Elephas maximus indicus: one gene and its partners. The protein of the gene in region 1 interacts with the protein of each later gene in a pairwise test. Links are inferred from orthologs where the notes say so. Each region holds a gene or a part of one and is shown in the gene's direction. Other genes may lie near its edges.

What was found.
Region 2: the proteins of TFG (region 1) and SPG21 interact in binary tests that used the Homo sapiens proteins (3 or more experiments, as listed by UniProt). The two-hybrid records come from large-scale screens. The link is inferred for Elephas maximus indicus from reciprocal best matches to the Homo sapiens genes TFG and SPG21.
Region 3: the proteins of TFG (region 1) and MAPK1IP1L interact in binary tests that used the Homo sapiens proteins (3 or more experiments, as listed by UniProt). The two-hybrid records come from large-scale screens. The link is inferred for Elephas maximus indicus from reciprocal best matches to the Homo sapiens genes TFG and MAPK1IP1L.

What each region holds. Positions count from the first base shown.
Region 1 is NC_064836.1:71,531,117-71,539,184, forward strand, and holds the start of TFG (protein TFG), read left to right. Parts: upstream 1-4,692; 5' UTR 4,693-4,884; intron 4,885-5,045; exon of another isoform or gene 5,046-5,255; intron 5,256-8,068. UniProt on the Homo sapiens protein: Plays a role in the normal dynamic function of the endoplasmic reticulum (ER) and its associated microtubules. Required for secretory cargo traffic from the endoplasmic reticulum to the Golgi apparatus.
Region 2 is NC_064831.1:55,137,159-55,144,774, reverse strand, and holds the start of SPG21 (maspardin), read left to right. Parts: upstream 1-4,377; 5' UTR 4,378-4,511; intron 4,512-7,616. UniProt on the Homo sapiens protein: May play a role as a negative regulatory factor in CD4-dependent T-cell activation.
Region 3 is NC_064828.1:67,342,042-67,349,468, forward strand, and holds the start of MAPK1IP1L (MAPK-interacting and spindle-stabilizing protein-like), read left to right. Parts: upstream 1-4,188; 5' UTR 4,189-4,348; intron 4,349-7,427.

The sequences.
Region 1 (8,068 bases):
AACCAGTGGAAGGGAGGTGGAGCTGACCGACTGGCCCCTATTCGGTCTGCATGGAAAGACATAACTTCTCTTTTGAAATTCTCACCCAAGGAGGGACTTAGATCTCCATTTCTTTGGTTCCCATGAGGATAGCTGAATGACAGAAATCTTCGAAATGATTTATACTGACTATAAAAGAAGAACATGACGAAACACAGGTTTCATCTAATTTATTTACAAGACTCACAGTCTTTGTCCCATTTCCCATTCACTTAGAATCCTCTTGTTACAGGTTGAATTCTGTCCACCCAAAAAATGCGTTGGAGTCCTAACCCCTATACCTGAGAATATAGTCCCATTTGGTCATAGGGTTTTCTTTGTTATGTTAATGACGGCATTATCAGTGTGGGGTGTGTCTTGAACCTACTCACTTTTTAGATATAGAAAAGGCACAGAAGCACAGACAAGCAAGCAAGAGTGAACGGGGGAATGAGAGATGCCACATGGAGATCTCCAACGAACACCAAGAAGAAAGCTAGAGAAGCTAGGTCAAGGATTTTCTTCCAGAGCAGAGACAGAGAGACTTTCCCTAAGCTGGCAACTAAACCGTGAGAAAATAAATTTTTTGTTCATTAAAGCCACCCACTTGTGGTATTGCTGTTATAGTAGCACTAAGAGACTAAGACAGCCCCTTTGTCATTCTTAGGATCTTTCCATATCATGAGTTCTAGCCAGACGGGCTTTCAGGGAGAAAGAGCACATGGTAGGTAATTGAGGATGACTGCCTCTCTCAGAACTACACTACGACTCTAATACTTCTTCAGGTGTCAGTGAAGGTGGAAAGTAACCTTTGAACTGCACAGCCTCATCTTTCTCCTTGCAACTGGCTGGGTCAAAGGTGTCTCCATACACTGCTTCTGTCTTTCACATATTCTCAGCTTTCGCATAGCACCATTAAGCAGTATTTTCTGATTCAAGGTTATTCACCTCAAATTAACATCAAGTTCACCTCAATGTAGGACAGAAGGCAGGATAAGCATGAAGTTCAATTTACTCTAGTTCAGTACCTTAATCAGCTCCAATTAAAAAGAAAAGGGTAACATGTCTCCTGACTAACAGAAGTTTAAAGGTGATTACTTATAGAACACCTGGCCCTAGAATGATCTTCTGAATGATAGGTTTGATGTTTATGCCCAATAAATGTGACCATAAGTGTTTAGTAAGTGATAATTATATGATAACTTCGCCCTTTTGGCTTCACTAAGGAAAGGCAGCAGTAACTAAAATCAGTGTCTACACGTTCAGTGGGAGAAACTGTGTTCTTGGTAAGGGTGGTGACTGATTCAATTCAGGTTATCTCTATGGTCAGTTATCACCTGCATTTATTGGGAGCCTGAGTACAGAGACCTGTATCAGCGACTGTGGATATACATTACAGAAATAGTAATAACCATTTCATTGACTCAGCAGATATTCATTGACTGCCTACTATTCACATAGCACAATGCCAGATGCTGGGAAAGAGAGAATATAATGACTGCACTCAAGCTGGGAAGCTAAGAAGACAAAATACCCAAACATAAAAAGCTAAGTAAGGATACAGAAAAATTACAAGAGATTTCATATAGAACTAAATGTCCAATTGTCAAATATTTGGTACATACAACCAGAGTTATACTGTGGTCTTTATGGTCTCGATAAAGACCACAAAAAGATACCATTTCCATACCCAAACTAAAAAAACAATACCAAGGGTTGGCATTATCTTAAGCAGTTAAATATTTACATAACCTACCATTTAGCAATCCATGCATTAGTATACCACCATGAGAAACTCTTGTATAAAGGCATATACAAGAATGTTCATAGTAGCACAGTGTAAAACACAAGAAACAACCTAAATACCCTTTGATAGGAGAACGGACAAAAAAATTTGTGGTATATGTACTCACCCAAAGAATATTCTTCCGCAGTGAAAATAAATGAACTCCAGCTACATGCAACACGATAGATTTATCTTAAAAATCTTAGTAACCATAATATTGAAGGCAAAAACTATGTCAGAAAACTGCATACAGATGATATGCTAGATGATGTCCATAAATAAGTAAAACTGAATTGAACAACATATTGGTTAAGCATACACATATATGACCATATACAACATTGAAGCCCTGGTGGCGCAGTGGTTACGTGTTTGGCTGCTAACCAAAAGGTCAACAGTTCGAATCCACCAGCTGCTCCTTAGAGACCCTATGGGGCAGTTCTACTCTGTCCTATAGGATCACTGTGAGTCAGAATAGACTCGAGGACAACAGCTTATATTCAAGATTGAAAAACAATCAAAGGGAATGCTAAACACAAAATTCAGGGCCTTGAAACATAACCCTTATTTACTTCAGCCAGCCCGATCTCTTCCCTGTCTCATGTTCACAACCTATTGGGGGCAATATGACAAACCCAGATGATAATTTTGTGTGCTTCCCTATATGTGAGCTCATACGACATACAATTCAAATGTCCCAGAGGTCATGCCCAATCACAATACTGTAAGCTTACATCTAGCTAGATGGCAGGAAGCAAGCTATTTTATAAAACTTTTCATAAAAAAATTTAAAACAGATTTCTGGAGAATCCTGGGGAGATGCTTTAATGTTGCACAGATGCCCTTTTTTGTCCCATGTGACCTGAACCTCTGATCTGGCTCCCAAATGCTGCTTTGCTCTCCTGTAGCTCACTTCCTGCCTCAGGTGGCTCCTGCTTAATCACAACCCTGCCTCTCAATTTCCACAGTGGTAGCTGGGAACAGGTTTTAATATTACAGGACTTAACAGATGGCTAAGGAGCTCTGGTGGCCAGAGATTAAGTGCTCAGCTGTTAACTGAAAGGTCAGTGGTTGAATTCACCAGCCACTCTGCACAAAAGGATGTGGCAGTCTGCTTCGGTGGCACACAGCTATGGAACCCCTATATGGTAGTTCTATCATGCCCTGAAGAGTCACTATAAGAATCCACTTAACAGCAAAGGGTTTTTTTTTTGGCTTTTAATTGATGGTTTGGGAATGAAGCTTGAGGAAATTACAGCATAGAGAACCTAAAACTGCTCTCAGAGTCCAAAAGCCTCAGCCCTTCACCCACCCTATGGGCACCTCTCTTGGTCGCTTCCGGGGGCCACAGTGTAGAAAGGGCCAGCTTACTTCTCACTGACAGAATTTTTGAGTGTTTTTCTCCAGGGGATCTAGAGAAAGGAATTTTCTCCCCTCATTTCCAGGCTTAAGTTCATCTCCTTATCTCCTACCCTAGGGTCTGATCTTCTGGCATAATTTGGTTCCTTCAGGGAATATTTTACCTCTGCCTATATGTTCTACCTAATCCTAAATCACCCCCCAAAGGCATCAGTGTACCATTATGGGAAAACAGCGCAGTTTCCCAACACTGAACTATTCTGTTTTAAGTAACAGGAAACGAAGAAGAGTCTCTGGAGAAAATCAGGAACTTCTTTCCTTCCTCCAGCTGTGCTCTGCTCCCCAATCTCTGCAAGCAACTGCTCAAAGAGCAATACATACAACCATTCAGACAAAATACAATAATTCAGACAAAAAAGCATTCTAAACACACATTTCATTCTCAAACAGAATTTTCCGAGACTTATAACTTCCAAAAAGACCATATAGAAATATCGCTCTCATCCTGAAGCACCTGAATTTACTTTACCCCAGTTCCTTCAGGAGAATCCAGTGAACAACTGGAAGGGAATCGCTTTACCTATTTGCTTAGTCTCTACCTTCAAACGTAAAGGCTGCTTGCTACTTTTAAAACAGCACTTTCCCCCCAAGCTTTCATCCCAAAATTTAGGGCTCAATCTGAGCCGGGGCACTCCTTATATAAATAAGCGCAACCAAAACAAACGCTTAAAGCGAAGAAGGCAAGAGGATGTAGCGCAGCCTCCAATGCCTTAATCTCCAATAAGACTTCTGGAATCCTTCCAAAAAAACAAAACCCCCAAACCCATTGCCGTCCAGTCGATTCCGACTCATAGCGACCCAGAGGGCAGAGTAGAAGTTGGAAGCTGGAATGCTTAGTCAGCCTTAATTCTCCCAGCCTCTGCACTTACAGGATTGTCCTGTCCCAGAAACACTGCCTTCCCTGTTAACTGAAAACTCCTTGCTCACAAACTGATTCACCCCCATCCCTAGCACAGGGCTTGGCAAAGCGTAGGCATTCACAATGAATGAATGGATTTGTAAGAATGCGGGAAAAAGAGCAGTTTTTTTCTGAACTGTGACTAGAACTACAGTGGTCACAAAACAACGACAGCAACAACGAAAAACAGAAAAAAAAAAACTTCAAATTTGTATAAACTTCCACTCTCAACCGGCTCTCGAAAAAAAGTAACCATTCCACTCAGTCCCGCCCCCAGGCGAGAGACAGGAAATACGAGCTTTCAGGAAAAGCGGAAGCGCTTGGTCACGCCCCGCGCATGCGTGCATCCACGCCGCTCACATTTGTATACTTAGTCATCCAGTGAGAAAGCCGTGATCCTTCCGCCGACGCAGCCACGGCGCACGCCAGCCCCACGCCTCACGCTGCTGCGCAAGCGCCCTGAGCTAGAACGCGCGCATAGAGGCGGGGCAAAAGGAGTTTTTTTCCTTGTTGCCCCGCCCCGCCTCTTCCCCCACCTGCCACGTACTGGGCCAGAGCTCGCGCTAGGCTTGCTGGGTCCGCGCGATTGGCCAAGACCCGAGCGAGCCTGCGTGCGGGTGCGGCGGCCGCGGAGGGCAGCAGAGCGGGTCGTGACCGTAGCCTCCCCCTGAAGCCCGAGAGCTCGGCGGCGGTCCCGCACCGGCCCGGCGGGAGGAGCCCTGCGCGAAGGCGGTGGCGGCAGCAGAGCGGCCTCAGCAAGTCGGTATGGCCGCTGGAGACGAGGAAGCGCTGGGAAGGCCTTTCTCTGAGCGCCGGCCCGCGGGTGGGGCCGGGGAGACCGTGGGGAGGGGGCCGGCTGGGGGAGGGGCCGGCTGGGGGAGGGGACGCCGGGCGGAGCCTCTCGTGGGGGAGGGGAGGCCGCGAACGGGGCGAGGAGGTGGGGGCCCCCGGGGCCACGGAGGCAGAGAGGCCGGCCGAGGGGGCTCCGCGGGAGAGTGGGGCAGCAAGTGCCTGGGCCGAGCGGCCGGGCTGGCCGCGCGCGACAGAGGAGAGGGCCTGTGGGGGCGTCTGGGTGGTCGTGCCCCTTACCCCAGGGGCGCCCATGGCGATAACTGGACCTCGTTCCGTGGCTAGGTCAGTGCTTCACCCAGCGTCGTCTGGAGACCCAGCCCGGTGGAAACAGCTAACTGAAGAGTTTATTACTGGCTAGGCACTGTATTAAGTATGGAGCCCTGGTGGCGCAGTAGTTAAGAGCTCAGGCTGCTGACGAGAAGGTGGGCAATTCGAACCCACCAGCTGCTCCTTGGAAACCCTATGGGGAAGTTCTCTGACGTGTAGGGTCGCTATGAGTCAGAACGGACTCGAAGGCAACGGGTTTGGTGTTTGGTTAATGGCTCTGCTGGAGAAAGATGTGGTGGTCTGCTTCCGTGAGGATCACAGCCTTGGGGTAGTTCTCCGTCCTGCGGCGTTGCTAGCGGTCGGAATCGCTTGGACAGCCATGGGTGGAGGTGCCTGAGCTGCTCTCTGAATTGGAGCAGGCGATTTGGAGGTTTGGCCACTGGTTCAGGGGGTAGGCTTTTTAGTGATCGTGGGGTTGTGACATTATTGTGCAGTGTTAAGGAAGATACTTAGGGAGAGTTTTCTAAGTTAGTGGCCATGTCATTTCTGGACTTGAGGGTGGGTGAAGCAAGGACAGGATGGATGGCAGAACAGAATGTTTTAAGGATCTCACCAGCAGTCCTAGGAGCTAGTTGTTCATATACTAGTCTCTTGATAATGCCTGAACTTGGGGAAAAAAGGACCAGAGTTCTACTGCTACATGAAGAAATGTAGGGACAAGGTTTCCTCTCAAAGGGACAATTTTGTGACACACTCAGTTTGCTATACCTGTGTGGTTGCTGTAAGATGACTTCACAAACTGGGGACAGCTTTAGGAAAGAAGCCCTGGCTCCTGGCCACAGGGAGGTCACAATCAATGGGAAACAACAGCAAGCAAGCAGATTTATAGCCAGGATGATGCAGTTAACTTTTTAGATCCATTGGAGTTGAACAATAATCACCCCATTTATCAAGCAAAATGACATTAATCAAATATACTTAACGTAGGAATTTTTTTTACTTGGGAGTGTGTTGATATGGTAAGTCACTTCTAGCTATGTAAACCAAACCAAAACCAAACCTGTATTGACTCACAGTAACCCTGTAGGGCGGGGTAGAACTGCCCTGTAGGCTTTCCAGTGAGTGGTTAGTGGACCGGAACTGCTGACTTTTGGTTAGCAGCCATAGATCTTAACCACTGTGCCATCAGGGTTTCCGCATAGGGAAGAGACAATGTGATGGTTTGAGTTAGGATATTACAGCTTTCTTTTTCCAGTCTCTTTACCAGAACTTTATCGTTGCTTATTCATTTTTTTTTGTCCAGGGAACAAAAACAAATATTTAGATACCTATTGTGTGTCAGGCACTATTCAGTGTGCTGCTGGGAATAGATATTACCATCTTACTGAAGTTAAGCACTGATCGCTATGTACAATGTAGCTGGTTTACACACCTCGTAGGCAGAAGAAGGCTACGATTTCTTGGAAGATCTCTGTTACTCTCAGGCTACCAGTGCAACCAGGGTCCTGCTTATATTGAAGTAGTAGTGATACTTAGAGCTTGGTACGTAGTAGGTATTGAGTAATTGCTTCCTGAGTGAAGAGGGCAGATTTGTCTAGCAGGTGAAGAGCTCATTTTTTGGGGGTTTCAGTCAATGACAGTCTTCATGAGAAGTCCCTTGTGAGAATTCAGAGATAAAAAGCTAACCGTATTCTTATTTTGGATTAAGACAAGCATAACGTCTAGATCACGAAACACAATCCACCCTATTCTGCGTGGATTTTGGAGTGTTGTATGCAGTACTAAATGCTCCATTTTAAGACGGTTGTTAATAAAATGTAGGGTGAACTGATTGGTAAGAGGTCGAGAGACTTTCATTTAAGGATTAGTTAGAAGGACCTGGAGTATTTACAGAAAGAATATTAGGGGGGAATTCGTGAAGACTTTAAGTATTTGAGGGGTTACTATGTTGGGGGACAGGTAGTTGCTTGCACAATTAAGAGGATAATTGCAAAGAAGTATGAAAACCAAATATGATATTAATGAAGCAATAAACTTTAGAGGAGAGAACAGAAAGCTGCTACTAGGAAGGCCCGGGGTTCGATGTGGCTGATAGGAGTTGTCGGCACCGCAAACAGTCTGAAAGATCATTTGGTTGGGGCGGGAGGAGCGAAGAGCTGATGCTAAAGAAATGTTTGATGGCTATAGATAGCGTATTCAAAAACATACGGGCCTTGAAAGGAGGAGCGGAAAAGACCACTTACTATTTGTTCTTAAGTTTATTCTCTGTCATTGTAGGGTAACCATTTAAATTAGTAGAGACATAGATTTTATTTTGAATTTGGGATTATAAAGCTGTTATAGAATAACGACACCGAATTATCTGAAATAAGATTAAAGCAAAACCCAAGAAGGGAAAATTCTATAGCAAATTAGTATTTAGTGGCTAGGAGCCCTGGTGATGCAGTGGTTTAAGAGCCCGGCTGCTAACTGTAAGGTTGGTGGTTTGAACCCACCAGCCACTCCACGGGAGAAAGATCACAGCCTTGGAAACCCTATGGGGCAGTTCTGCTCTGCCCTGTGGGATTGCTGTGAGTTGGAACTGACTCCACAACAGGGAGTTTAGTTTGGTTTTTCTTCTCTGATGTTCTTTTTATTTCTTGAACCATGCATTCTAATCACATGCACCCACTCATGTCTGGAGGGGATTATGGACTATGTAGCACAGTAGTGGACGGTTTTGTTGGAAAGCTAGGAAAGGGGAGCCATTTTAGATGGATGGTCAGGGAAGACCTCTGAGAAAGTGGCATTTGAGCAGGAATCTGAATCACGGGAGGGACATGACAAGG
Region 2 (7,616 bases), on another chromosome or scaffold:
TACCGATACTATTAGCTAATATTTACTGAGTGCTGGCCCCATTTCTAAGGATGTGACATGGACTATCTCATTTTATCTTTGCAATAACCTTGTAAGGCAGGTACTGTTATTTATCTTCCTTTTTCTGGATGAGGTGACCAAAGCGCAAGAATGTTAAATAGCTCATAAGTGGTGAGCTGGTATTTACACCTTGGGTTTGTCTGACTCCAGTCTGAGGGCCTAACCATTCTAATACGCTGCCTCTACTTGCAAATGTTTTTATCCTTCATCTGGGAATTTAAGGTGTTAGACTTTGGCTTTCAGAAGCTAAGGAAGGAGCACACATGCTAATCCAGTGCCCGTTATATGCAGGGACTGTACTATCCGGTTTCAAAAAGATTTTTCTCATTTTAGTCACAACTTAATCACTGTCTTTTTTTTACCTTTACAAATTTCGATAATTCTCTAGAATCTTACAGTCAGAAGCTGCTTTATTTTGTATTAAAACAGTGACACTCTTGTTTTCCAAGATTCTTTATTGCTGTTTTTATCCCAAGATGGCAAATTACCAGCTTTTACAGGAGGGACATTATGAGCTCCTGGGTTGGCAGATGATACAAAAAACTCGGCACCTTTGCTTAGCAGTTCCTATTTTAATAAGTGAACAGTTAACAAACAATAAGTCTTCCAACAAGTTAAAATACTGTTTCAGTTAAATCGGCATTTTTTGTGTATAGGCTAATTTTTTTAAAGTTTAATTGGAAATCAGAAAGGGGGGATTAACAGAAGTTTTTCAAGGAAAGGCTATTGCAAAGATTTTTAAATACGTTCCTCATAAATTTATAGAATACAAGATCTTAGAATCAGAAAGGACTTAGAGACCTTTTAGTCCATCCTTGGACTCTTTTTACAGGGAAGTCAAGTCAGGCCTCAAGAGGAAATGTCTGCCCAGGGAAAGAACTCAGGTTTCTTAGTTACCCAATCATAACTAATTAGCAATGATAAATAACTGTATATAACTCCTCTTTGATGGGGTCTTTAGGTAGCAGGCTAAAGAAGAGCCATGTCAGCATCTTTCTTGGGCAGTTCCAGAATCCCCACTTGTCTGATCCCTAGAATCCAGTGCAGTGTGCATTTGACACAGAGCTGCATTCATTTTCAGTCTTGGGTTTCAGCATAATTGGTATGTAACACTGCAGTTAATCACACCTCGAGAAGCTTTAAAGAGAGGTATTTCAAGAATTGGTATTTGTCTGAAAAACCAAGTGTTTTGTTACAGATATTAAATTCACAGATTTTAAATGTTCCTTATTTGGACAGGAAACCCTGGTGGTGTAGTGGTTAAAAGCTATGGCTGCTAACCAAAAGATCAGCAGTTTGAATCCACCAGGCGCTCCTTGGAAACTCTATGGGGCAGTTTTACTCTGTCTTATAGGGTTTCTATGAGTCGACCACAACAGGTTTGGTTTGGTTTTGGTTTTGTTTGGATTAGAAAATGGACAATGTGCTTGTCATGTGATATGGAATAACTTCAGGACCCAAACATGACTGTGGGGTCCTTTTCACTTTTTCACAGATCCATGGTTCCTGGAGGCAAAATGTGGGTATTCACTCTAAGCGGTTCACTGGAGGAAACAGCATATATCATGTGAAACCACATGGGGTATTTGGGACCCTTGCAGCAGCTGGTATGATGAGAGTACCTTGGTCCCATAGAGAGGTCGGTCAAGAGCCTGACCTGCTCAAACGAGCTTGGACTTTAGTTTGAAGGCAGTGGTATTGAAAGCCAGGGAGTCGCACAAACATCCAAAAAAACCAAACCCATTGCCACTGAGTCGATTCCAACTCATAGTGACCCTACAGGGCAGAGTAGAACATAGCTGCGTTTTATTATTTTTATCACACAAATACATGAATGCATTCTTATACAGATTCAAATACTACATCTAAAGCCAAAAGATTTCTTCACCACCCCCTCACCCTACCTTCAATTACTCCTCAAAGATAATCACTATCCTGTTTGGTGTGTATGCTTTTCAACATTAAAAAAAAAAAAATTCACTGATGTATATATATGCATAGAGATATATCTAGAATTGTCTTTTAGGTGTGTTTTAAACTCTATGCATGTGTGAACACAGTTGCTTGGAGTTGAGCCCTTCTGAGACCCAGCTGGCCATGTTTACTTTGGTGTTCACAGCATATTTTGTGAGCATTCCAGTTTTCACATGAGATTCTAACACAGGGACTGGTGCTGTGGGAACCATCTGGTAGACCCCAACCACAACAGCTGCAAACCCTCCCAGCAACATCCACAATGTTGGCCTGCACTGTGGTGTACCCTGGGTCAAAAGTTTGCTGCCGGCAGCTGTGCCTTACAGGACAGCTGGAATTCCCAGGTATTAAATGTTCCTTGTTCAGATTAGAAAATGGGCAGTTTGGTTGTCATGTGTTATGGAACAACTGAGGATCCAAACAGGGCCATGGGGTCTTTTTCTAATGGAAACAAGCAAACTAGTCATTATTTTTGGGGTCTAATCTTTTACATTGTAACAAAAGTAGGTACATAACAAAACATAGCTTTATACCTGTTGCCTTTGAGTCAAATGGACTCATAGCGACCCTATAGCTATCTAGTGATATGTTTTTTTATTATCAACAGTCAAGTTCAAAATTATTATTACCAAACCTAACAGACAAGGACTTCTAATATTTATGGGCATAGTCAATCCATAGCTTAGATCTCATCAGGGCTGTTACTAAAGTGAGGTGTAGGGATGTGAGGTCTAAGGAATCGTAGGAATACATGTGGATGGATTTATTCATTCACTCATGCATGCACGTATTCATTCATTCAACATGAGTGGGAATTGACTCTGTGGGATACAACACTCTCATATACGTACCTGGCCTCCCTGTCAGACTGAGCCAGTGGCCATTTCCTAAGTGACTCTTAGCTTTCCTCCCACTTCTGTGCCAATGTTCCAGTCTTCTTTCTGTTTTATCCTGATTGCTAACACAAACCTTATGTCTTTTTGTATTTTTCCAGTGTCTCTTTAAAGTTCTTGTGAATTTTTTTGGTTTTTAATGGAAATAAATTATTAGGACATGTCCTATGGCACTGGCTGAACCCCTGTTGCCTTTGCTTTCCATAGAAGCTCCTGGCCACCTTGGGGACAGAGAACAAATGTAATGAGTTTCCATAATGGGTTTTACATACAAGGAGTGATTTGAGAGCTATTCCATTCATTAAACTATTCTAAATTTTTGAGAAAAGCCCTCTAATGTTGGAAACATGCCCTATACGCCAATATGGTGCTTATAATAAAGGATTACTTCCTGTGACTGACTCTGAATTCTGAAAGAGGTGATTTGGAGAAAATCAGGTGACTGTGTCACTGTGCTCTTGGGAAATACATTTGGTATTTGTCCAAGTTCTAGACTGGGACCCACAGCTCCTGGGCAGAGAGGACAGAAGTCATGACTAAAGACGCAATTTACTAGTCATGTCCCCTGACCTGAATTTTGTGAACACTAGACAGGGTAAGGGCAAAGTCTGAAGAAGGCCTTCCAGTAAAGCAGATTAGGGAGAGGCACTTTCAGCAGGACCTTGTTGCAAGATCATACAGGGAGATTTACATGTTGTTCAGCCTTATACATTATTTCAATGCAAACCTGCGACTATTTTATTGACAGGATGTCGTGACTTTTCCAGGACCTTGCTTGAGAACAGTGATCGTAAGTACATCAACATTCTCTATGCCCTTAAGGGTAAAGTGATGGAGCAGGAAGCTCCTTCGGAGCCTGTTCCGGAAATCCCCCAGAACGTCAGCACACAGCTGGAAAGGGAGGTGGGGCACTCGCTACCGTGCCAGGAAAAGAGTATACAGAACCCCGTGCCCCAAAACCTGGAACCCAAGGGGATGCCCTCAAGCTTTACACGGCAGAGGGGAAACGGCGGGCACCTACTTTCTCCAAGTGGACGCGAACTGAATGCAGAAGCGGGTCCCAGGGGACCCAGCGCTCTCTTCTTTCCCACGACTTTCCCCTAGATGCCCAACTCAGTACAGGCGACCGAAAGCCGACCCAGAGGCAACACAGACCTGTCAGCACCTGACGCCACAGCCAGGTGCGGCGCCCGCTGCCCCAGCCTTAGGCGGGATCCCGCGAGCGTCTAGGAGCCTCCGACCCCTGGCGCCAACCCGCCGCGTCACCATGGAGACCGCCGGAGCCACGCGGCCCGCCCCTTCCTCGTGACGTGGCCCCGCCCGCCGCCAAACCCGGAAGCGCAAGGCCGGCGCCCGCTGTGCGGAGGGTGCGGGAGGGGGAGCGCGGCGGCGGAGGCGGTGGCCCAGGCTCGCTCGGCTGCGCGCCCCGCCCCTCGGAGGCCGGCCCTGCAGCGCGCCCCTGCCGCCGTCCGCCCTGCGGGTCCTGAGCGCTCGTGCCGGGCCCGGACCCCCGACTCCCCGGCCAGCCGCCTCCCCGGCCCGAGCCGGGCCTGAAGGGGAAGGGCCGTGGGCTGACCACGGCAGGTGAGGGGTGGGCGAGGCCGTGGGAAGTGGGCTGGGGGCGTGTGTAGGGTGCGCGGCTGCTTCGGTCGGTGTGACTGTACGGGTGGCCCCGAGTGGGCAGGTCCATGTGACGGTGTGCGTGACTGCAAGCCTGTGTGTGTCTGTGTCTGTGTGTCTGAGGCCGAACCTGGGTCCTGGGGGTGGTCGCTGTGCCTGGGGCTCCGCCTTTATGTGGCTGCAACCGGTGGGCCCGGGTGAGGGTGGGTGGGGGATTGTGTGTGGGTCGCCTCGGGGAGCTTGCCCAGGCAGGGCATCCTCCTGTAAACCCAGCCCGGGCTACGCAGCCTCAGCCAGGAACATTTTTTTCGGTAAACTTTTAGGAACTCTGGGCAGAGGCTGGTTATTTCGGAGATTGCACCTCAGCCTGAAAGTCACAAATGCCTTTGTCATTGCTGAGGAAGGCCAGGTATGAGGCTCGTGGATGAGGGTGAGGAAAGTCACAGCGCTAGGATGTCTGTTTTCCTGGGGAGCTACAGGCTTGGGCTTAGGCTGCTGCTTTGTTTTCACCTACAAGGGGTGGTCCAGCTCCAGTTGGCACAAAAATCCGAAAGACTGAGGAGTAATTTAACAGTTGTGTCCGAATTTCCAAAAACTTTTATACCGAGAGCACAAGATGCCGTGTCACAGAAGAGATGCTGAGCAGACAGCTTTTTCTTCCATGAAGTTTAGAAAATAATGGAATAGGTTCCTGAAGAAAAGGATATATCTTCCCTGAAAATATATTTAAAAGATAGCTATGTGCTGGTGTCTAGGTCTGGAGACTTGCCTTAAAAAGCCGATTGCATCACCTAGAGACTCCTGGGTACTATTATTTTGTTATTGTTGGTATTAATAACAATCAGAGACTGTCCATATGTAGATCAACTATGGGTTGAGGTAAAAGATGGGAAGTCTCTGACTGGGTAAGCTCATTATGTGACTTCTTAAACGTTTGTGAAGGCCATTTTGTTGCCTGTAACCTGGCTGGTTCTGTTGAAATCCTGAGGGACAAGTGTCTGATCCTCCAGGCAGGCTCAACGGCTGACAGTTTTGTTGTCCAGCAGCATAAGGGCCAGGGAGGACTGGGTGTCCTCAGCACACCCTAGGACAGATTTCCTTAGGCAAGATTGAGGCTAATCTATTTGGCACTTTTCTGACCAGCACGAAAAGGTGCTTTTGTGTTTTGTGAAGAACTGAATTGTGAGAGATCAAATCAGTATTGAGCTCACGATGCGCGTTCTTGTTTAATACTGGTCAATTTGGTCACAGCCTTGGTTCATCTTCTCTGCCGTGTTCAGAATGTACGTCTTGTGACTTCAGTGGATGAAGGAGCCCCTGGGTAGTGCACACAGTTAAGCACTCAGCTACTATCAGAAAGGTTGGTGGTTTGAATCTGCCCAGAGGTGCCTTGGAAGAAAGCCCCAGTGATGTACTTCTGAAAGATCACAGCCATTGAAAAACCTATGGAGGAACCCTTTTCCACTTACTGTTGTGGGGAAGAGGTCTGTGCCTGAGTGAATTTGTGTGCCTGTGTATGATGCGTACATGCCTGTTAGTATAGTAGTTAGGTTTGTACATTGCAACTGATCCCAAAACTGTGAACAATAAATTAAATTATTACTCTGAAACACATGGGATGGCCAGGAGTGAGAATTGTCTCCACAGCTACTGGTTGGTTTAGTGGATGGGAAAAAAGGTAGGAGAACAAACTTTCCTTTTCCTACCACTCACAGCTGCTTTGCCTTTGCTGCAGTGAGATTTTTTCCAGGGAGATGTCTGTTGGTCAGCCGTAACATTTGGTATCTCTGTTGCCTTTCAAGTACTGCCAAACTAGCACAAGTGTTACAATCACTTGTCTCCATAAAAATTTAGTCACAGTTGGATGTTATATCTCCATCCAGCAGGGTTAGTTATAAAATGTTATAATACTTAGGTGGTTTTGAATAGGACTGAGGACTGTTGGTAAGGAACTCCTTTCTACTGATCGCCTGCTGTGGGGAAGAAGTCTGTGACTGAGTGGATTTGCATGCCTTTGTATGATGCGTACATGCATGTTTGTACAGTAGTTTGGTTTGTATGTTGCAATTGATCCCAAAACTCTGAAGTTTATTTTATCTCAAATTTGGGGAATCTAGAAGCAGACTTTCTGCCTTTAATTAGCTAAGATGTTTTTATAAATCTATCAAGTAGATTTTATTTGCTAAACATGTTTTTTATATTGCTTCCTATAGGATAGAGTAATTGTTTCTAGTGATGCATTACTGTAACATGTCTAGTATTTCAAATCCGTCCAGGTAAAAAAATACAACAGGATTAATTATATGTGCTAGTTGCTTTTAACTAAAAGTAATAATCAGCTTAGGGAGAGACTCCAGCTCAGGTGGCTTAGATTTTTCAACGTGGTAATATTTGTGAAGATGAAATGGATATGCAGAGAATGGTGTTCTTTATTTCTGTGTGAGTAATAACCACGTCTGTGCACATTGATTTTCAGCACAAGACTGGCTGATGATTTTCTTGGTACTTCAAAGCAACTTATGATTTTAACAAGCTTTTCTAAAACTACCGTCTTAGCCTTGAGAGAAGAGACCATTATTACAATGTCCGAGTTGTAAATCAAGTTTAGTATTGGAATGTCTAGATTTACTGTCTCCTTATTTTTAGGGTTTAGTTTAGTAACACCTCAAGGTTAGAGGTGACAGCAGAGACTGCTGCGTGTCCTGTGTTCCTGAAGGGCTAAGGAGGAAGAGCGCCACTGGATTTAGAACCCCTCACTCCTTGCCAGTCCAGAGGACTCCGTCTAAAACGACAGTTCAGCGTCAGCCAGGAATAAAATCCTAGAGTCTCGAACTCGTCTTAGCCCTACCAGGAAATCCAGGCTTGCCCTGGGGCAGAGAGCAGGGTGCAAAGCAAGTATTTGAATCCTTCCAAACAGATGACTAGGGTGGAAGTTCCTCATTTATCAATAAGACTCTACAACAGGGAACTATAATTTCCGGTTCCTGCTATGATATAACAGATGCCTGAGCAAAGAAGGACAGCCTTTAAACCGAAGGTGTTCAACCCGTCCCAAGCTCATACAATTGC
Region 3 (7,427 bases), on another chromosome or scaffold:
TCGAATCCACCAATCACCCCTTGGAAACGATGGGGGCAGTTCTACTCTGTCCTATAGGGTCACTATGAATTGGAATTGACTCAACAGCAACGGGTTTGTTTTTTGGTAGTCTGTTTAGTGTGCAATAGCATTATATCTTTAAAAAAGTACATACCTTTAAAAAATACTTTATTGCTAAAAAGAAAAATGCTAACCATCATCTGAGCCTTCACTGAGTCGTAATAGTCTATTTTGCTGGTGGATGGTCTTACTTCAATATTGATGGCTGCTGACTGATCAGGGTGGTGGTTGTTGAAGGTTGGGGTGGCTGTGGCAAATTCTCAAAATAAGACAACAATGAAGTTTGCCCCATCAATTAACTCTTCCTTTCATGAAAGAGTTCTCTGTAGCATGTGATGCTGTTTGATGGCATTTTACCTATAGTAGAACTTTTTTCAAAATTGGAGTCAATCCTCTCAAACCCTGCTGCTGCTTTATCAAACAAGTTTAGGTAATATTCTAAACCCTTTGTTGTCATTTCAACAATGGTCACAGCATCTTCACCAGGAGTAGATTCCATCTCAAGAAACCACTTTCTTTGCTCATCCGTAAGAGGCAACTCCTCATCAGTTAAAGTTTTATCATGGGATTACAGCAATTCAGTCACACCTCCAGGCTCCACTTCTAATTGTAGCTCTCTTGTTATTTCCACTACATTTACTGTTGCTTCCTCCACTAAGTCTTGAACTCCTCGAAGTCAAGCATGAGGGTTGGTATCAACTTCTTCCAAACTTCTGTTAATGTCGATATTTTCACCTCCTCCCATGAATCATGAATGTTCTTAATAGCATTTAGAATGGTGAATCCTTTCTAGGAGGTTTTCAATTGACTTTGCCCAGATCCATCAGAGGAATCACTATCTATGGCAGCTATAGCCTTCAAACTGTGTTTCTTAAATAATAAAACTTGAAAGTCAAAATTACTCCTTGATCTACGGGCTGCAGAATGGATGTTGTGTTAGCAAGCATGAAAACAACATCAATCTCCTTGTACATCTCCATCAGAGCTCTTGGGCAATGAGGTGCATTGTCAATGAGCAGTAATATTTTGAAACAAATCTTTTTTTCTGAGCAGTAGCTTGCTACAGTGGACTTAAGATATTCAGTAAACCATGTTTTAAACAGATGTGCTGTCATCCAGGCTTTGTTGTTCCATTTATAGAGCACAGGCAGAGTTGATTTAGCATAATTCTTAAGGGCCCTAGGGTTTTCATAATGGTAAATGAGCATTGGCTTCAACTTAAAGTCACCAGCTGCATTAGCCCCTAACAAGAGAGTCAGCCTGTCCTTTGAAGCTTTGAACCCAGGCATTGACTTCTCTTCAGCTGTGAAGGTCGTAGATGGCGTCTTCTTCCCGTATAAGGCTGTTTCATCTACACTGAAAATCTGTTGTTTACTGTAGCCACCTTCACCAATTAGCTTGATCTTCTGGATAACTTGCTGCAGCCTCTACATCAGCACGTACTGCTTCACCTTGCACTTTTATGTTATGGAGATGGCTTCTTTCTTTAAACCTCATGAACCAACCTGTGCTAGCTTCAAACATTTCTTCTGCAGCTTTCTCACCTCCCTCAGCCTTCATAGAATTGAAGCGAATTAGGGCCTTGCTCTTCATTAGGCTTTGGCTTAAAGGAATGTCTTGGTTTTCTAGTGCTGCTATAACAGAAATATCACAAGTAGATGGCTTTAACAAAGAAAAATGCATTCTCTCACAGTCTATAAGGCTAGAAGTCTGAATTCAGGGTGCTAGCTCTAGGGGTAGGCTTTTTGTCTCTGTAGGCTCTGGGGGAAGGTCCTTGTCATCAATCTCGCCCTGGTTGAGGAGCTTCTCACCACAGGGACCCCAGGTCCAAAGGATGCACTGTTCTCCTGGCTCTTGCTTCTCGGTGGTATGAGGTCCCCCTGTCTCTCTGCTCTTTTATATCTTAGACTAGATTGGCTTAAACTGTAGATTAATCTTGTAGAGTCAGTCTACATAACTACCGCTAATCCCATCTCATTAACATCATAGAGACAGGATTTACAACACATAGGAAAATCACATCAGATTACAAAATTGTGGTCAATCAACACAATACTGGGAATCATGATCTAGCTAAGTTGACATATTTTTGGGAGACACAATTCAATCTGTGACAGGGAACGTTGTCATTGGCTTGATCTTCTATCTAGACCACTAAAACTTTCTCTGTGTCAGCAGTAAAGCTATTTCCCTTTGGAAACCCTGGTGGCAGAGTAGTTAAGTGCTATGGCTGCTAACCAACAGGCCAGCAGTTCAAATCCTCCAGGTGCTCCTTGAAAATTCTATGGGGCAGTTCTACTTTGTCCTATGGGGTCGCTATGAGTTGGAATCAACTCGATGGCAGTTGATTTTAGTTTTTGGTATCATTCCTGTGTTCACTCGAGTAGCACTTTCGATTTCCTTTAAGAACTTTTCCTTCACATTCACAACCTGGCTAACTGGCGCAAAAGGCCTACCTTTAGGCCTGTCTTGGCTTTCGTCATGCCTTCCTCACTAAGCCTAATCATTTCTGGCTTTTTATTTAAAGTGAGAAATGTGTAACTCTTCTTTTCACTTGAACACTTAAAGGCCATTGTAGGGTTATTAATTGACCTAATTTCAATATTGTCATGTCTCAGGGAATAGGTAGGTCCTAGGAGAGGGAGAGAGATGGGGCAACGGCCAGTCGGTGGAGCAGTCAGAACACACACAACATTTATCGATTAAGTTCAAAGTATTATATGGGCGTGGTTTGCTGTGCCCCAAAACAATTACAGTAGTAACATCAAAGATCACTGATTACAGATTAGCATAACAGATACAGTAAAAATAAAAGTTTGAAATATTGTGAGCATCACCAAAATGTGACACACAGACAGGAGGTCATCACATACTGTTGGAAAAATGGCTCCAATAGACTTGCTCCATGCAGGGTTGCCACAAACCTTAAATTTGTAAAAAAAAAAAAAAAACGCAGTATCTGTGCAGTGCAATAAAGCAAAGCACAGTAAAAGTAGGCATGCCTGTATTTGTTTTTTTTATTTTTTAAAAATAGACTATTGAAGTATAATATAATTTACATACAGTAAAAATGTATTCACTTTATGTGTAGCATTCAATGAGTTTGGTTTTTTTGTTTGTTTTTTGGTTGTTTGCTTTTTGGTATGTTAGGTGAAAGCCTACAGAGCAAATTATATTCCCATTTCATAGTTTGCACCATAAATCGCTTCATGGTCTTGGTTTCATTCCCCAGCACATGTCATGCACTCTCCCCATTTCTGCTCTGGGTTTTCTGTTTCCTTTCGTCCTAATTTTCTACCCCTTCCTGCCTTCTCATCCTTGCCTTTGGGCAAATGTTGCCCTTTTGATCACCTATAATTGATTATTGTTTTTGTAAGTAACACGTTCCTCTCTGGTGTTATTGTTTATTTTATGGGCTTTTCTCTAGTTTGGCCTGAAAGTGGCCTCCGGAAATAGTTCCAGGTTAGAAGGGTATTTCAGGGCCATAGTCTCTCGGCTAAATATCTAGCTCTTGCTATTTTTTGCACACCATATACTTATGACATCTTCATTACTAGCTTGCAGGCTCCTGATGACTAGGGCCATGTCCTAATCACTCTTTGGGTCTGATAGAGTAGATGTTTAATAAATGTTTATTCAATAAAGAAGGTGTGGGGAAAAACATGGATCAGGAAAAATCTGAAAAGATGACTGTTCCTTTAGTTAATATCAATTATCAATCCGTTTCCAAACGTCTTCCCTTTTCTGCATTGTTCCTTTAGCTCTTCTCAATTTTGACTGAGGGTATCTGCGTCTCCCAGAATCGGGCCGCTAATTGGCTGCATACACACCTAGCCAGCTTCGAGGCCTGGCTGTAAAAACCGCTGAGTGCAGGGAATCCAGAATCTGCCCTCAAGCCACTCAACGCAACAAATCAGGAATTTCCGCCTGGCTGCCCTGAACTTCACCAGTCACAAGCGTTTCCTCCGAGTCCTCAGAGCTCCGGAAAACCGAGGAAGTTTCCGCTGCATCAAGAGAACAGCCGCTCCACTACGGCCGCTAGGGGGAGCCGCAGTGCCGCCGGGGGCCTGAGGGGGCGCGCGCGGCCCAGCCCGACGGGAGGAGGAGCGCAGGCGGGGACAGCGCGCGAGGCGTGAGGCGCTTCCTGTTCCGGCGCCAGGAGGAGCCGCGCGCCGCTAGTGCTGTAGCTGCTGCTGTCGTCAGTCAGGCTGCGTTCGGTTCTTCAGCGCCCAGTTCTCTGGGACCCATCGTCGCCTCTAGACTTTGTTTCGGGGTCGGATCTTGCCGGGTGAGGCTGCTTCGGCGCTAGTGATGGTGGTAGAGGGTGGCGGGGGAGCTCAGGTTGAGGGGCTGGCGGGCGCGCCCAAGCGGGAGGCGGGCGCGGCAACCGAGGTGCCTTGAGTCATCTCCAGTGCTTGGGCTGTGGTTCCTCACGTAAGATTCTCTCGGCCACCCCGCTGCGGGTTCGCCTCCCGGATCACCCCCAAGGAGAAGGCGTCGGAGGCCGGTGACGTCACGCCCGGCGGGTTTGTCCGCCCTCGATGTCAGGCCTGGCTCGGGGGACGGGGGAGGAGGCGGGTAGCTGGCCTGCCCCTCCCCCACCCCGACTCGGCGAGCGCGACCCGCTCCGTGGCCGGTTCGCTCTCGTCAATCCCGCATTCTCTTTGTTCATTTGGTCCCAAAGGGCTGCCAGCCTCGTGCCCCTTGGCCCTGACCCTCTGAATTCATTAATTTCTAACGAAAAGGGAGCGAAATACTCGCATCGAGCCTTAGAGGAATCTCTGGCGCTTATTTAAGATTTCGCAGTTGTGACAACGTTGTGCTTATTTCTGACTAGAAGAGTTGCTAACAGATACATCAGATGAATCGCCATGACAGAAACTACCAGAGGTGCTGAGTTCTGTAAGACTCTTTCGGGCTGAGGAGCCCATATTGTGCATTGTAGTTTATATAATTAGCCTAGTCTTTGACCTCGGAAACCAAGAATAGACAATAGGTGCTAATGCAGCAGCAAACTAACTTCACTTGACTGAAAATTTTTTTACACACTTGTACACTTGATGGTTATAAAGCCCTGTTTTGAAAACCTCAGTACAGGTAGCCTTCAGAAGGAATTTGTTCAGTAGTGTTCTTTGGGCAAGAAGAATAGGTATTTTTCTTGCTTCCTAGTCAAAACTAGTCTGCCTCACAGACTTAGTTGTTCTTTTCCTCTCTCCAGGCAGAATGGTAATATCTGCCCCCAGTCCCTTAACCCAAACCCTTGGGGTCACTATGTTTGGAATTCAGAAATTTTTAGATTTTAGAAAGATAATATGGTGCCTAGGTGTGTAATAAAACTCCCGGCAGGGCTAAGGGACAACAAGCTGATAAAACCCACTGGCGTCGAGTCGATTCCGACTCATAGCAACCCTATAGGACAGAGTAGAACTGCCCCATAGAGTTCCCAGGGAGCATCTGGCAGAGTCGAACTGCCAGCCTTTTGGCTAGCAGCCGTAGCACTTAACCACTACGCCACCAGGGTTTCCACAACCTGATAATCCAGCATTAATATTTGTGTGGCAATAGGTTTGACTCTTCACTTTAAGTGGGGATCAGTTAATAAAAAGGTTATTAAAAAGATAGGAAAGTAAGAAAAGACCAAAATGGATGTCAGTAGAGACTCTGAAATTTGTTCTTGAATGTAGAGTAGCTAAAGCGAATGGAAGAAATGATGAAGTAGAAAAGCTCGACTGAAGATTTCAGAGGGTGGCTCAAGGAGATAAAGTATTATAATGAAAGGTTCAAACACCTAGAGTTAGAACAGCAAAAGGAAAGAACATATTCTACATTTCTCAAGCTGAAAGAACTAAAGGAAAAGCCTCGAGTTGCACTATTGAAGGATCCTATGGGTAATATACTGAACGATGCAGGAAGTATCAAAAGATGATGAAAGGAGTACACAAAGTTGCTGTACCAAAAAGAATTGATCTGGGTTCATCCATTACAGAAAGTAGCATATCATCAACAACTGATGGTATTGAAGGAAGAAGTCTAAGGTGTACTGAAGGCATTGGCGGAAAAACAAGGCTTCAGGAATTGACAGAATACCAGTTGAGGTGTTTGAACAAATGGATGCAGCACTGGAGTTGCTCACTCCTCTATGTCAAGAAATTTGGAGGACGGCTACCTGGCCAACTGACTGGAGAACCAGATCCATTCCAAAGAAAAGTGATCCAACAGGATATGGAAATTATCAAACTATCATAAATATCACACACAAGTAAAATTTCGCTGAAGATAACTAAAAAAATGGTTGCAGCAGTACATCGACGGTGGACTGCCAGAAATTCAAGCCAGATTCAGAAGAGGACGTGGAATGAGAAATATTGCTCATATCAGATGGATCATGGCTGAAAGCAGAGAATACTGTAAAGATGTTTATATGTGTTTTATTGACCATCAGAGACATTCAACTCTGTGGATCATAATAAATTATGGATAGCGTTATGAAGAGTAGGAATTCTAGAACACTTAATTATGTTCGTGAAGAACCTGTACATAGACCAAGAGGCACTCATTCAAACAGGACAAGGCGATACTACGTGGTTCATCAGAGTTGTATACTTTCACCGTAGTTAGTCAATCTGTATGTTGAGCAAATAATCTGAGAAGCTGGACTATATGAAGAAGAGGGCATCAGGATTGTAGGAAGACTCCTTAACAACCTGCAATATGCAGATGACACAGCCTTGCTTTCTGAAAGTGAATAGGACTCGAAGCATTTACTGATGAATATCAAAGACTACAGCCTTCAGTATGGAACCCTGGTGGCACTTGGCTGCTAACCGAAAGGTCGGCAGATCGAATCTGCCAGCCACTACTTGGAAAACCTATGGGCAGTTCTACTCTGTCTTATAGGGTCACTGCGAGTAGGAATCAACTTGACAGCAACAGGTTTGGGGGTTTTCTTTTTCCATATGGATTACACTTCAACATAAAGAAGTCATTTCTCACAACTGGACCAACTGAAGTTGTCAAGGATTTCATTTTACTTGGATTGATGCCCGTGGAAGCAGCACTCAAATAAAACAATAGTACATTGGGCAGATCTACTGCAGTAGACGTCTTTCAAGTGTTAAAAAAGCAAAGATGTCACTTGGAGGACTAAGGTGAGCCTAACCCAACCCATGGTATTTTCAGTCACCTTATATGCATGTGAAAGCTAGACAGTGAATAAGGAAGACCAAAGAAAAATTGATGCCTTTGAATTACGGTGCTGGGCCAAGAATATTGAATATAGCATGGACTGCCAGAATAACGAACACGTCTGACTTGGAAGAAGTACAGCCAGAATGCTTCTTAGAAGCGAGGATGGTGAGACTTTGTCT